2 linked regions of the Canis lupus familiaris genome follow. The protein of the gene in region 1 purifies or fractionates together with the protein of each later gene. This does not show direct contact. Links are inferred from orthologs where the notes say so. Each region holds a gene or a part of one and is shown in the gene's direction. Other genes may lie near its edges.

Evidence for each region. Proteins that work in one complex are often made in the same cells at the same time.
Region 2: the proteins of POLR1B (region 1) and POLR1D purify together in Homo sapiens (affinity purification with mass spectrometry; 5 studies listed by BioGRID and IntAct, with this or other methods). This does not show direct contact. The link is inferred for Canis lupus familiaris from reciprocal best matches to the Homo sapiens genes POLR1B and POLR1D.

The regions. Positions count from the first base shown.
Region 1 is NC_049238.1:36,968,747-36,973,703, forward strand, and holds part of POLR1B (DNA-directed RNA polymerase I subunit RPA2), read left to right. Parts: intron 1-442; coding exon 443-576; intron 577-2,420; coding exon 2,421-2,591; intron 2,592-3,437; coding exon 3,438-3,594; intron 3,595-4,957. UniProt on the Homo sapiens protein: Catalytic core component of RNA polymerase I (Pol I), a DNA-dependent RNA polymerase which synthesizes ribosomal RNA precursors using the four ribonucleoside triphosphates as substrates.
Region 2 is NC_049246.1:12,055,703-12,061,133, reverse strand, and holds the start of POLR1D (protein POLR1D), read left to right. Parts: upstream 1-1,958; 5' UTR 1,959-2,056; coding exon 2,057-2,082; intron 2,083-3,036; coding exon of another isoform or gene 3,037-3,412; exon of another isoform or gene 3,413-3,613; intron 3,614-5,431. Other genes in the region: DNA-directed RNA polymerases I and III subunit RPAC2, read left to right, coding at 2,057-2,082, 3,037-3,412.

The DNA.
Region 1 (4,957 bases):
TAGCCACTCTCTCTGCTTTGGCTGAATGTCCTGGAATGACCACAAAAGCACTAGTATTAATGCTGCGGTTACAAATACATTTTAGCAAATAGGGCAAATTCACAGGTGTGGAATCCACAAATAATGAGGATTAAATGTAGTTAGTTAGGTTTTGGGGGAAGAGTTAATCTGTTTGTCAAAATGTAGAAGGTATGCAGTGGAAAGCCTCTCTTAGATCCCTGGCCCCCAGCTGCTCTCCCCTCAGATGGACAGAGTCATTCATTTCTTGTGTGTCCTTGTTGAAATGATTTAGAAACACTCAAGCGATACAAAAATGTTCTGGTGTAGAGACAAGATAACTAGATGTCTAAAATGATGAAGTGGCTGTTGAGCCCACCTGGAGGGAGTTTTTAATATAAGAAAGTGTTCAGATGTGAACCTTCTGTTTGTTCCCTTCCACCAGGGGTCACTCCAGTTGATGGAGCTCCACATCGACCCTACAGCGAGTGCTACCCTGTCCTGCTAGATGGCGTCATGGTTGGCTGGGTGGATAAGGAGCTTGCTCCTAGCATTGCAGAGTCTCTCCGACATTTTAAGGTTGAGTCTTTGTGAATTGTTCTATCCCTTCATCTTAAGTCGTCAGTCCTTTTCTGGTTGTTGAGATAGCCCCAGGGCCGTCTAGAGTGGTCAGGGGGTCTGGAGGCCAGAAGCTAATTCCCTAAGTGCCTGCACATTCCCCAGAATTGCAGAATCTTGTCTTGGGCTGACCTCAGAAGTCGGACTCTGGGGCAAATGCTTTGACCTGCATGCATTTTTTTTTTTTTTTTTTTTTTTTTTTTTTTTTTTTTTTTGGTAGTTTCACCGAGGCCCTAGTCTAAGAAATCTAAGAAATCTTAACTTTTTTTGTTTTGAAAATACTAATGGTGGGGTCCCTGGGTGGCTCAGTGGTTGAGTGTCTACCTTTGGCTCAGGTCATGATCCTGGGGTCCTAGGATCGAGTTTCTGTATCGGGCTCCCCGCATGGAGCCTGCTTCTCCCTCTGCCTATATTTCTGCCTCTTTCTGTGTGTCTCTCGTGAATAAATAAATAAAATCTTAAAAATAAATAAATTTACATAACAGAATTTACCATCATAACCATGTTTAAGAGGTTTTCTACTTCTAATGAGGTCTGTTTGGGTAGCCTGTATTTTACCCATTTTATTTTGATTTCTTGGAGTTGTACAGAGTATACTTATAATTTTAAATTTTAGTTTCAGTAGTTTTTTTGCTGTTGTCATTTCTTACTCAGTACATTTGTCTGCCCCCCCCCCACTCCTTTTTTTCTTGACTAAGTTAAACAAGGGGGATTTGTTGGTTTGTTTTTTTTTTTAAAGTACCAAGAATTTTGATTTGTTGCTTTGAGCCTTTTTCGGTACTGTACCTCATTAAGTTCAGGTTTTATCTTTGTTAACTTGTGGGGGTTTTACGTATGTGTGTTCTGTTTGTTTGGGTTTTTTTTAGCTTTTATGTTAAGAATTTAATCCATCTGTTTTTGTTGATGACTTGTTTAGCTGTGAATCCCCAGAAGTTCTGATATATAGGTCTTGTTATTTTTTTTTCACATTTTTGTAATGTGTGTTTATATTTTACCCTGGAGTTGGTTAGTAGAAGTTTTGTTGTTTTGTTTTTTAATTTCCAGGTAGAAGAGCCTTTTCATTGAGTACAGTTTAAAATAAAACCAGTAATATACTACATTCTAGACATCAGAGGACAAAGTTTTACTTATGCATCCACGTGCACCTTCTTGGTTTACCTTTCCTCTAGGCTCCCCTTTACCAGTTTGCCACATAGTGAGGTACCACCCACCCCCCAGAAAGTAGGGCTTTGGCCAATTCTGGATATGAGGTGAGTAGCATTCTGTGTGGTGATGAGACTGGAAGGGCACAAAGTTATTACTGGCATAACTGATTTAAATTTTTTCTTTAAGATTTTATTTATTTATTTTTTTTAACATTTTTATTTATTTATGATAGTCACAGGGAGAGAGAGAGGCAGAGACATAGGCAGAGGGAGAAGCAGGCTCCATGCACCGGAGAGCCCGACGTGGGATTTGATCCCGGGTCTCCAGGATCGCGCCCTGGGCCAAAGGCAGGCGCCAAACCGCTGCGCCACCCAGGGATCCCAAGATTTTATTTTTTTATTCACGAGAGAGGCAGAGACAGGGAAAGCAGGCTCCATGCAAGGAGCCTGATATGGGACTCGATTCCAGGACCTCCGGGATCACGGTCTGAGCTGAACGCAAATGATCAACCACTGAGCCACCCAGGTGTCCCACTAATTTAATTTCTTGATGCTGCTTTTTATATTTGGCCTCCTTTCCCATTCTACCCACCTCCTAGGTGACAGGAGGATAAATTTGAAACACATCACTTCTTCTTAATTGAACTCTGTTGAAAACAGGTATTAAAAGAAAAAAGAATTCCTCCCTGGATGGAAGTGGCCCTTATCCCTATGACAGGAAAACCAAGTTTATACCCAGGATTGTTCCTGTTTACCACTCCTTGTAGATTGGTACGGCCTGTGCAGAACTTGGAATTAGGCAAAGAAGAACTAATTGGAACTATGGAACAGGTATGTAGAACATTGTGATTGGTGCCTGTATATGCTCCTGTTACAGTACACAACTTTCGGAGACTTAATAACCACTCTTTTTTAAAAGTGTTATCGGGGTACCTGGGTGGCTCAGTCAGTTAAGTGTCCAACTCTTGATTTCTGCTCAGGTCATGATCTCAGGGTCATGGGATCGAACCCTAAGTCGGGCTCTGCACTCAGCAGGAAGTCTGCTTCACATTCTCTCTTTCCCTCTGTCCCTCTGCCTGCTTGCATGAGCACCTGTTTCTCTCTCTCAAAACAACAACAACAACAAAAAAAAAAACCAGAAAACTTCTTTTTATAAAGAAAGTGTTGTTGTTCTTTAATAACAATTGGGCATTTGAAAAAAATCAGAATTTACTTTCTGCCTCCTACCAGAACAAAGCAGTTTTCACATGTTCCTTCACTGTGCTTACATATCGAGAAAGAGAGTTGGTGGTCACATTACCTGCCTTCTCATCCCGCCCAGCTCCTTTGCACCTGACTCTGAGTCAGGTGGTGAGGTGGGAACATTCCATTAGACTTAATATTTGCCTACATCTTTGCAGTTGCAAAACTGTGGGCTTTGTGCTACCTCAAAATGTCTGTCTTCCTGTCCTTCACAGTTGGACCAGGGTAGATTTAGAATGAAATGCATCAGGCAAACAGTATTTCTGACCTGGAAGCTTCTCCGTGCTTCCCAGTGGATCCCATCAGTGTTCATGATATGGAGTGGGAACGTTTGCATTCACATCTTTGAGTCCTAAACTCAGAGGGAGGATGAGTTCATATGTTAGCAGTGAGTTATTCTGTGCCTTGAACTTCCTCACCCTTCCTCTCTTCCAGATCTTCATGAACATTGCCATCTTTGAGGATGAGGTTTTGGCTGGAGTTACCACTCACCAGGAGCTCTTCCCTCACAGCCTGCTGAGTGTGATTGCCAACTTCATCCCCTTCTCCGATCACAACCAGAGTCCCCGAAATATGTATCAGTGCCAGATGGGTAAGATGGAGTGGAGGGTGGTGGGATTCACACAGAAGAAAAGTGCTTATAACTTTTTTATTTTGAAATAATTTCAAATTCAGAGAAATGTTGTGGGCATGGTACAAAGAACTTCTGTAAGCCCTTTATGTAGATTCTGTTAACATGTGCACTGTTTTCCATTTGGAGGTAAATTGCAGACACGATGCCCCTTTATCCCTAAATATTTCATTGTGTATTTCCTAACAGCAAGGATGTCTCCTTACATATAACAAGGGCAAATATTAACATCAGGAAATTGATGTTAATGACATTGATATTGATGTCATTATACTGTTCTATAGTCCTTACTCTGATTTTGATTGATCATCCCCAAAATATGGTTTATGGCAAATTTTTTTCTGTGTAGCACCTAGTCCAGGATCACGCAGTGTATTAGGTGACACATCTCTTTAGTCATTTAATTCTTTTTTTTTTTTTTTTAAGATTTTATTTATTTATTTGACAGAGAACAAGCAGGAGGAGCAGCAGGGAGAGGGAGGAGCAGGTTCCCCCCTGAGCAGGGAGCCTGATGGGGGCTCTATCCCAAAGCTCCAGGATCATGACCTGAGCTGAAGGCAGTCATCTAGACACTCTCTCCTTAGTCTTTTATTTTTATTTTATTATATTTTTTTAAAGATTTATTTATTTATTTATGATAGAGAGAGGCAGAGACACACACAGGCAGAGGGAGGAGCAGGCTCCATGGTGGGAGCCCGACGCAAGACTCGATTCCGGGACTCCAGGATTGCGCCCTGGGCCAAAGGCAGGCGCCAAACCGCTGAGCCACCCAGGGATCCCCTCTTAGTCTTTTAAATTAGATCCTTAGCCTTTGTCATTTTTGATTTTAACATTGTTTAACAAAAATATAGTTTATTTTGTAGAATGTTTATTGATTTGGTTTGTCTGAGATCTTGTAATTTGATTTTGAAGAACACAAGCCCTTGTAGTCACCCACATCTTATCACTTCTGGTGCTCTGCCTACCTAATGATTCAGGTTTCCGTTGAGTGTTGCATCCCTTGAGCCTAAAAAACCTTCCTATAACATTTTTTATAGTAGGTGGCTGGCTACAAATCCTCTTAGGTTTTATTTCTCCAAAAATGTCTCTATTTCATCTTTACTTGGAACTGGATGTATGATTCTGATTTGACAGTTACTTTTTTTTTTTTTTTTTTTTAGCACTTAAGAGATGTTACACGGTCTCTTCTTGGTGTCTAGAAGTCAGTGATTGATTGTATATAATGTGTTATTTTCCCATCCTTAAGATTTTCTCTTTATATCTGGTTTGTAGCTGATTAAGTATGATATGTCTAGATATGATCTTTGTGCTTGCAGTTTACTGA
Region 2 (5,431 bases), on another chromosome or scaffold:
GGCTGGGACCGTGGGTCTCTCCCTATTCCTTCCCTGGAGCACAAGACCCGACGTGAGGCAGCTAGTGCCACTCTCATTACAACACACACACACACACACACACACACACACACACACAAAATAAACTCACCCCCACCTCTCCCCTCCTGGAAGAAGCAAGCGGCGCGCAGAGCCGCAGCCCCGTGGCCGGAACCACCAAATGGGAACAGCCGGGGGTGGGGGCCTCGCGCCTCCCCGGGCACCCGGCGCAGGACCGCGCGTCCCTCCCTCGCTCCCCCGACCCGCGCGCCCAGCCCCACCGCGGGCGCGGGTCCACGTCCCCCACAGCGCGGCGAGCGGGGCGCAGAGCCGCGGGGTCGCCGCCTCCCCGGGCGCGGCTCTGCCCCCACAGCCCGCCGACGCCCGCACCTGAGGCGGCCGCCCGGCACCCGGGCAGGGCGCGGGGCCAGGCGGCCGGGGCAAAGTTACTCACTGGGAAAGCGCGGCCGCCCGGGGCGCGCACCGGCTCCCGGCGCCGCAGCCAAGCGCCAGCTCCGCTCTCCGCGGCCCGCCGGCCTCCGCTCCGCCGGGAACCGCCGCCGCCGCCGCCGCCACCGCGGATTTCCTGGCAAGAAGCAAACTCTGGCCAAGACTTCACTTCTCAACCGCCCCTGCTGCCTTCCCGGGGGCGAGCGCCAGGGCCCAGCAGCCCAACCCGACAAGCAGCTGGGCCAACCGGCTGCGGCGCAGGGCGGGCAGGGGGCGGGCCAGAGCGCGGCTCCGCCTATGGAAGCGCGCGGGGGGCGGGCCAGGCCGGGGCCGTCACTCCCGGGTTAGAGTGAGCCCACTCCGCCCCTGGCCGCCCGCCCTCCCCCACTCGGTCTCGGCTGCCCCCGCCCGCCTGATCCCCCCGCTGGAGACACGCTCGGAAAGTGCATCCGCGCTCACCGCCGACCGCCGCGAGCAGAGTGGAACAGCTGGGGAGGCAGTGACCATCTGGGGGAACCGGGGTGTGGGTACGAGCACAGGTGGCGAGGAAAGCAGGAATATAGGTGTGCTGGGGTGAGAGGACTCTGGGGCAAGGTGCGAGGGACCGGGACTGACCGGGCTGAGAAGGGCGACGGGGGTAGGAGGTGGAGGAAGGGAGGAGGGGGGACGGAGGGAAAAGGGCGGGGAGCGGGTGCGGGTGGCGAAAGGTTGCCGAGGCGCGGGCAGGGGCACCTGGGAACAAAGGTGAGAGGGAGGTTCCGCAGGTGAGGTTTGAACCGAAAGGGGAAAAGGAAAAGGAAATCCGGAGCAAGAGAGGGTGTACGTATTCCAGGTGCAGAGAAGACCCTGAGGGAAAGCACGGGGGAGCAAGGGGGAGAAGAGCAGTTTCCTTCCAAACTCTCGCTCCTCCCCCTAAAGATAGAAACGAAGGCTTTTTTGGACCCGTTTGAGGTGTGCGGCTGCAAGATCCCGGATGACACACACAACCTTCAACTCATCCTCGTCTGTCGTGAAATTCATCAAGGTGTACTGATCACCTGTAGTTTGCACCTGTCATCCCCCCGAACACCACCCCCCCACCCCCGTCAGGCTTGGGGTCCCGCCAGGGAGTGACACCCTGCCCCACGGGTCAAGCAGCAAGTCTGAAAGAGGCCCCATTCCGCCCTAAGAAGGACGGTGGCTTGGGGCGGCAGGTAAGGCCCCGCCCCCTCCGCCAACACCTGGCCGAAGGTGCGCCCACAGGCGGGTCTCGCCCTCGAGGTGGGACGGGAGGGCGGCCCCCCTGTCCCCGCTAGGGCAGCGGGCGGACTGGCCCCTGGAGCTCCAGGTGAGCCGGCCGGGCCTCGCAGCCGCCCTCCCCGCGCGGGGAGCTGGGCCTGTGGGCGGGGCCTGCGGGCGGAACGTACACGCCCCGCCCAGCGGCTGGGCCTCGCCGCGCCGCGCCGCTGCGGCTCCTCCTCCCTCCTTCCGTCCCCGGCTCCTTCCGTCCGTCGTTCCTTCCTTCCTGCTCCGCCCGCGTGCCTCGCGCTATGGCTTAGCGCCTCCGCTCTGCCCGCACCACCTGAGGATCCCGGAAGCCGTCCCCGCGATGGAAGAGGACCAGGAGCTGGAGAGGTAACGGCCGAGGAGGCGGGTGGGCGGAGCGGGCCGCGCCCTGCGCCGGGAGCGGGGAGCCGAGGGGCGTCCGCCTGCGGGGCCGGGGCGGCAGCGGGGGCAGCGGGGGCAGCGGGGGCCCGGCCGGGAGGACGCGGGAGGAGAGGGAGGTGGAGAGGGAGGGGGGCGCCTGAGCCGGGAGAGGGCCCCTGCTGGGAAGGGAGGGGAGGACGCACGGACGTGTCTGATAGAGGCGCCCCGTACAATTAGACGGCCCGGAGGGAGCGCAAGTTACGAGGCCGGAGTTAAGTCCCCACACCGCCCACCCCGGGGAGAACAGCAGGACTAAGTAAAACTAACGGAAGGCCGCGCCCGGGCCAGTGTTCGCCGAGTGCTCGTGTTGGGGCGTCCAGCCAGGCCTAAGCCCCTGTGACTGCGGCCCAACTTAGAGCTCTGTGTAGGCAGCTAATGAAGCGCTCCTGGGTGCCCTCAGCCCTCGTCTCCCTCCTGCTTGATTGACACTTCTCAGAACTTCCTCTCTAGTTTATCTCCTGCAGATGGAAACCATAGTGGGGCCTGCACGGTGATAATCTGCAGTCTCTATTTTTGAAAAGATGTGTTTTTGTGTGCCTTTAAATACCCTTTCATTCTCCAGCAGAGCCCACCCTACTCTAATCCTGTTCCTTTCTTGTGACTCTACCAAGAGAAAATTCTAGCTTTAAATATTTAACATTTACGTTTGTGCCCTCGTGGCCATGTGGACGGTGTCAAATGGGGTAGGGAGAAACTGGAGGCAATAATTAAGTGTTTATTGATAGAATATGTGGAGGCAGGAAAATGAGGGGTTAATACAAAATAGTTGAGTGTAATTGGAGTGCAGTAATGTGTTGCGATTGTGATATAGTAAATGAAAAAAAAGCTAGTTACCAAACCATATTCAGTATGATCTCATTTTTATAAAAAATATGTGTGTAGAAAAATATCTGGATTGAAGACCTCAATGGCTGAAGGCGAGAGGAAGACAGCCCTGGAAATGGTCCAGGCAGCTGGAACAGATAGACACTGTGTGACATTTGTATTGCACGAAGAGGACCATACCCTAGGAAATTCTCTTCGTTACATGATCATGAAGAACCCGGAAGTGGAATTTTGTGGTTACACTACAACCCATCCTTCAGAGAGCAAAATTAATTTACGCATTCAGACTCGAGGTGCTCTTCCAGCTGTTGAGCCATTTCAGAGAGGCTTGAATGAGCTCATGAATGTCTGCCAACATGTGCTTGACAAGTTTGAGGCCAGCATAAAGGAATATAAGGATCAAAAAGCAAGCAGAAATGAATCCACATTCTAGTCCCTTATGCACTATACGGGGAGGACTATCCTCTAGGATATTCTCTTCGTGATCTTGCAAAACCAGAAGTAGAAGTTTGTGATTACAACTCCATCTGCCCTTCACAAAGGCGTGCTTCTAGCTATTACCCATTACAGCTGCTGGAATCCCTGCAAGAACCTTTGTACTCATCTAATAAATTCCCTCTTTTATTTAAACTAATTTGAGTGGTTTCTGTTGCTTCATCTGGTAGATTGACTGTTTTAGGGGGTTTTTTGGTTTGTTTTTTTTTCTTTTAATTGAGCCAACAGTGAACGTAAGGAAGCTAGGAGAATATTAGAGACCTAGACAAAGACTTTGATCAAGAGAATTCAAAAGAATGTGCACTTGTGGCTATGATTGGGGAAGGAGGAGAGATGCAATAGAGCGTGAGCACAGACTGTGGTGGGTTTAAAAAAGAAAGGTGGAAGTGGGAGGAGGATTTAGCTTCTTGCTAGATATTTTTTAGTAATTCATGAGAGAATTTGCATCTTTTACTATGACTGCTGGGTTCAAGCGTGGGGAATAATTTGAAAGAATTGTGAGAATTTTGGATTCACAGGAGAGTTAGGATCTAGTTCTACCTTTGTGGTTGCATATATAGGATGGATGCCAGTTTACTGCTTTAATTTCAGGACACTAATAAAATATTTTGTCAGAAATGACCTGAGTAGGTCGAGAGTTTATACTGTAAAAGAAGAAAACTGGGATGATCAGGGAACATCTTCAGTCCTTAGGTGCGTATCTAAGTATATAGCCCAGGGTTACAATAAGGATGAAGAGAAAAATTTCCAAGTTGGGAAAGTGATTTTTTTTTTTTTTTTTTACCTTAAAATACTAGTGAACCTCTTCAAGGTGTCCTGTTAATCTCATCAGCCTTGTCTGCTAGCTGTCCTACATCAACTTGTCTCTTAATTCACCCTAAATCTCGTTAACCTTTGACCTGAGCACCTCACTCCCAGCACTCTGTGCTTTGGGGTCTTTGTTTTTGCTGTACATATTCTTGGAACACCCTTACTCTTCTACACTCTAGGGTAGGTGAGAACTTAGAGGTCAAGACTCCCACCCTGGTTTGGGGACTTGCCTGTACTTTCATTTTACTCCTGTGTTTCATGGTCTTGGATTTACTATGCTGTTGTTAGTGCTTATGTTGTCTACCCACTATACTGACTTGCAGCCCGATGCCTGATGGGTAGTAGGCAATTAGAAAATACTGGCTAAATCCATGTTGGTAGTTATGGCACGTAGCCTTTTATTCACTCCAATCAGACCTCTTTCTACTATTCTGCCATAGAAACTACATTTCCTATACTCAGTCAACATGTTTGGATAAATATATTTCTGTATTTATGGAGCACCTGGTACATACCAGGCCCTGGATAGAACACTATTGGATGAGACATGGGTCTTGTTCTCATAGAACATACATTATAATAGGATTGAAATTATTTTTTTAAAGTTGTAATTCTTTGAAAACATAGGAAGGATCAAGAAAGAAAACATGAGAGGGGAATTGCTTTTGGTATGAAAGTCAGGGAGGTTCATCCAGAGATTACAGGAAGAGAAGGAGCTAACTGCCCAACGGAGAGGAAGTATTCTGGCAGGATAGCTTTGTAAAGGTCCTGAAGCTGAAAACCTGTGGTCTGAGAAATTAAAGATATTGAAAATTTGCTTATATGCAGCATGGTAAGCAAGGAAGAGAAGGGCCTAGGCTATGGATATGGTGGGAAGAAGAGTTGGGGTGGTAAGGGTTTGGATTTTAAGTACAATGGGAATGACATCTGAATACTCTTGATGACAGTGTGGAGGGATGAATTATCGAGAGGAACTGTGTCATTGGCCTAGAAGGGCAGCAAGCTAGTGATGGACAAAAGGGTTGATTTGAAATATATTTTAGAACTGAATTGGTACAGGGGCAGCCCGGGTGGCTCAGCGGTTTAGTGCCACCTTCAGCCCAGGGCGTCTTCCTGGACACCCGGGGTCGAGTCCCACGTCGGGCTC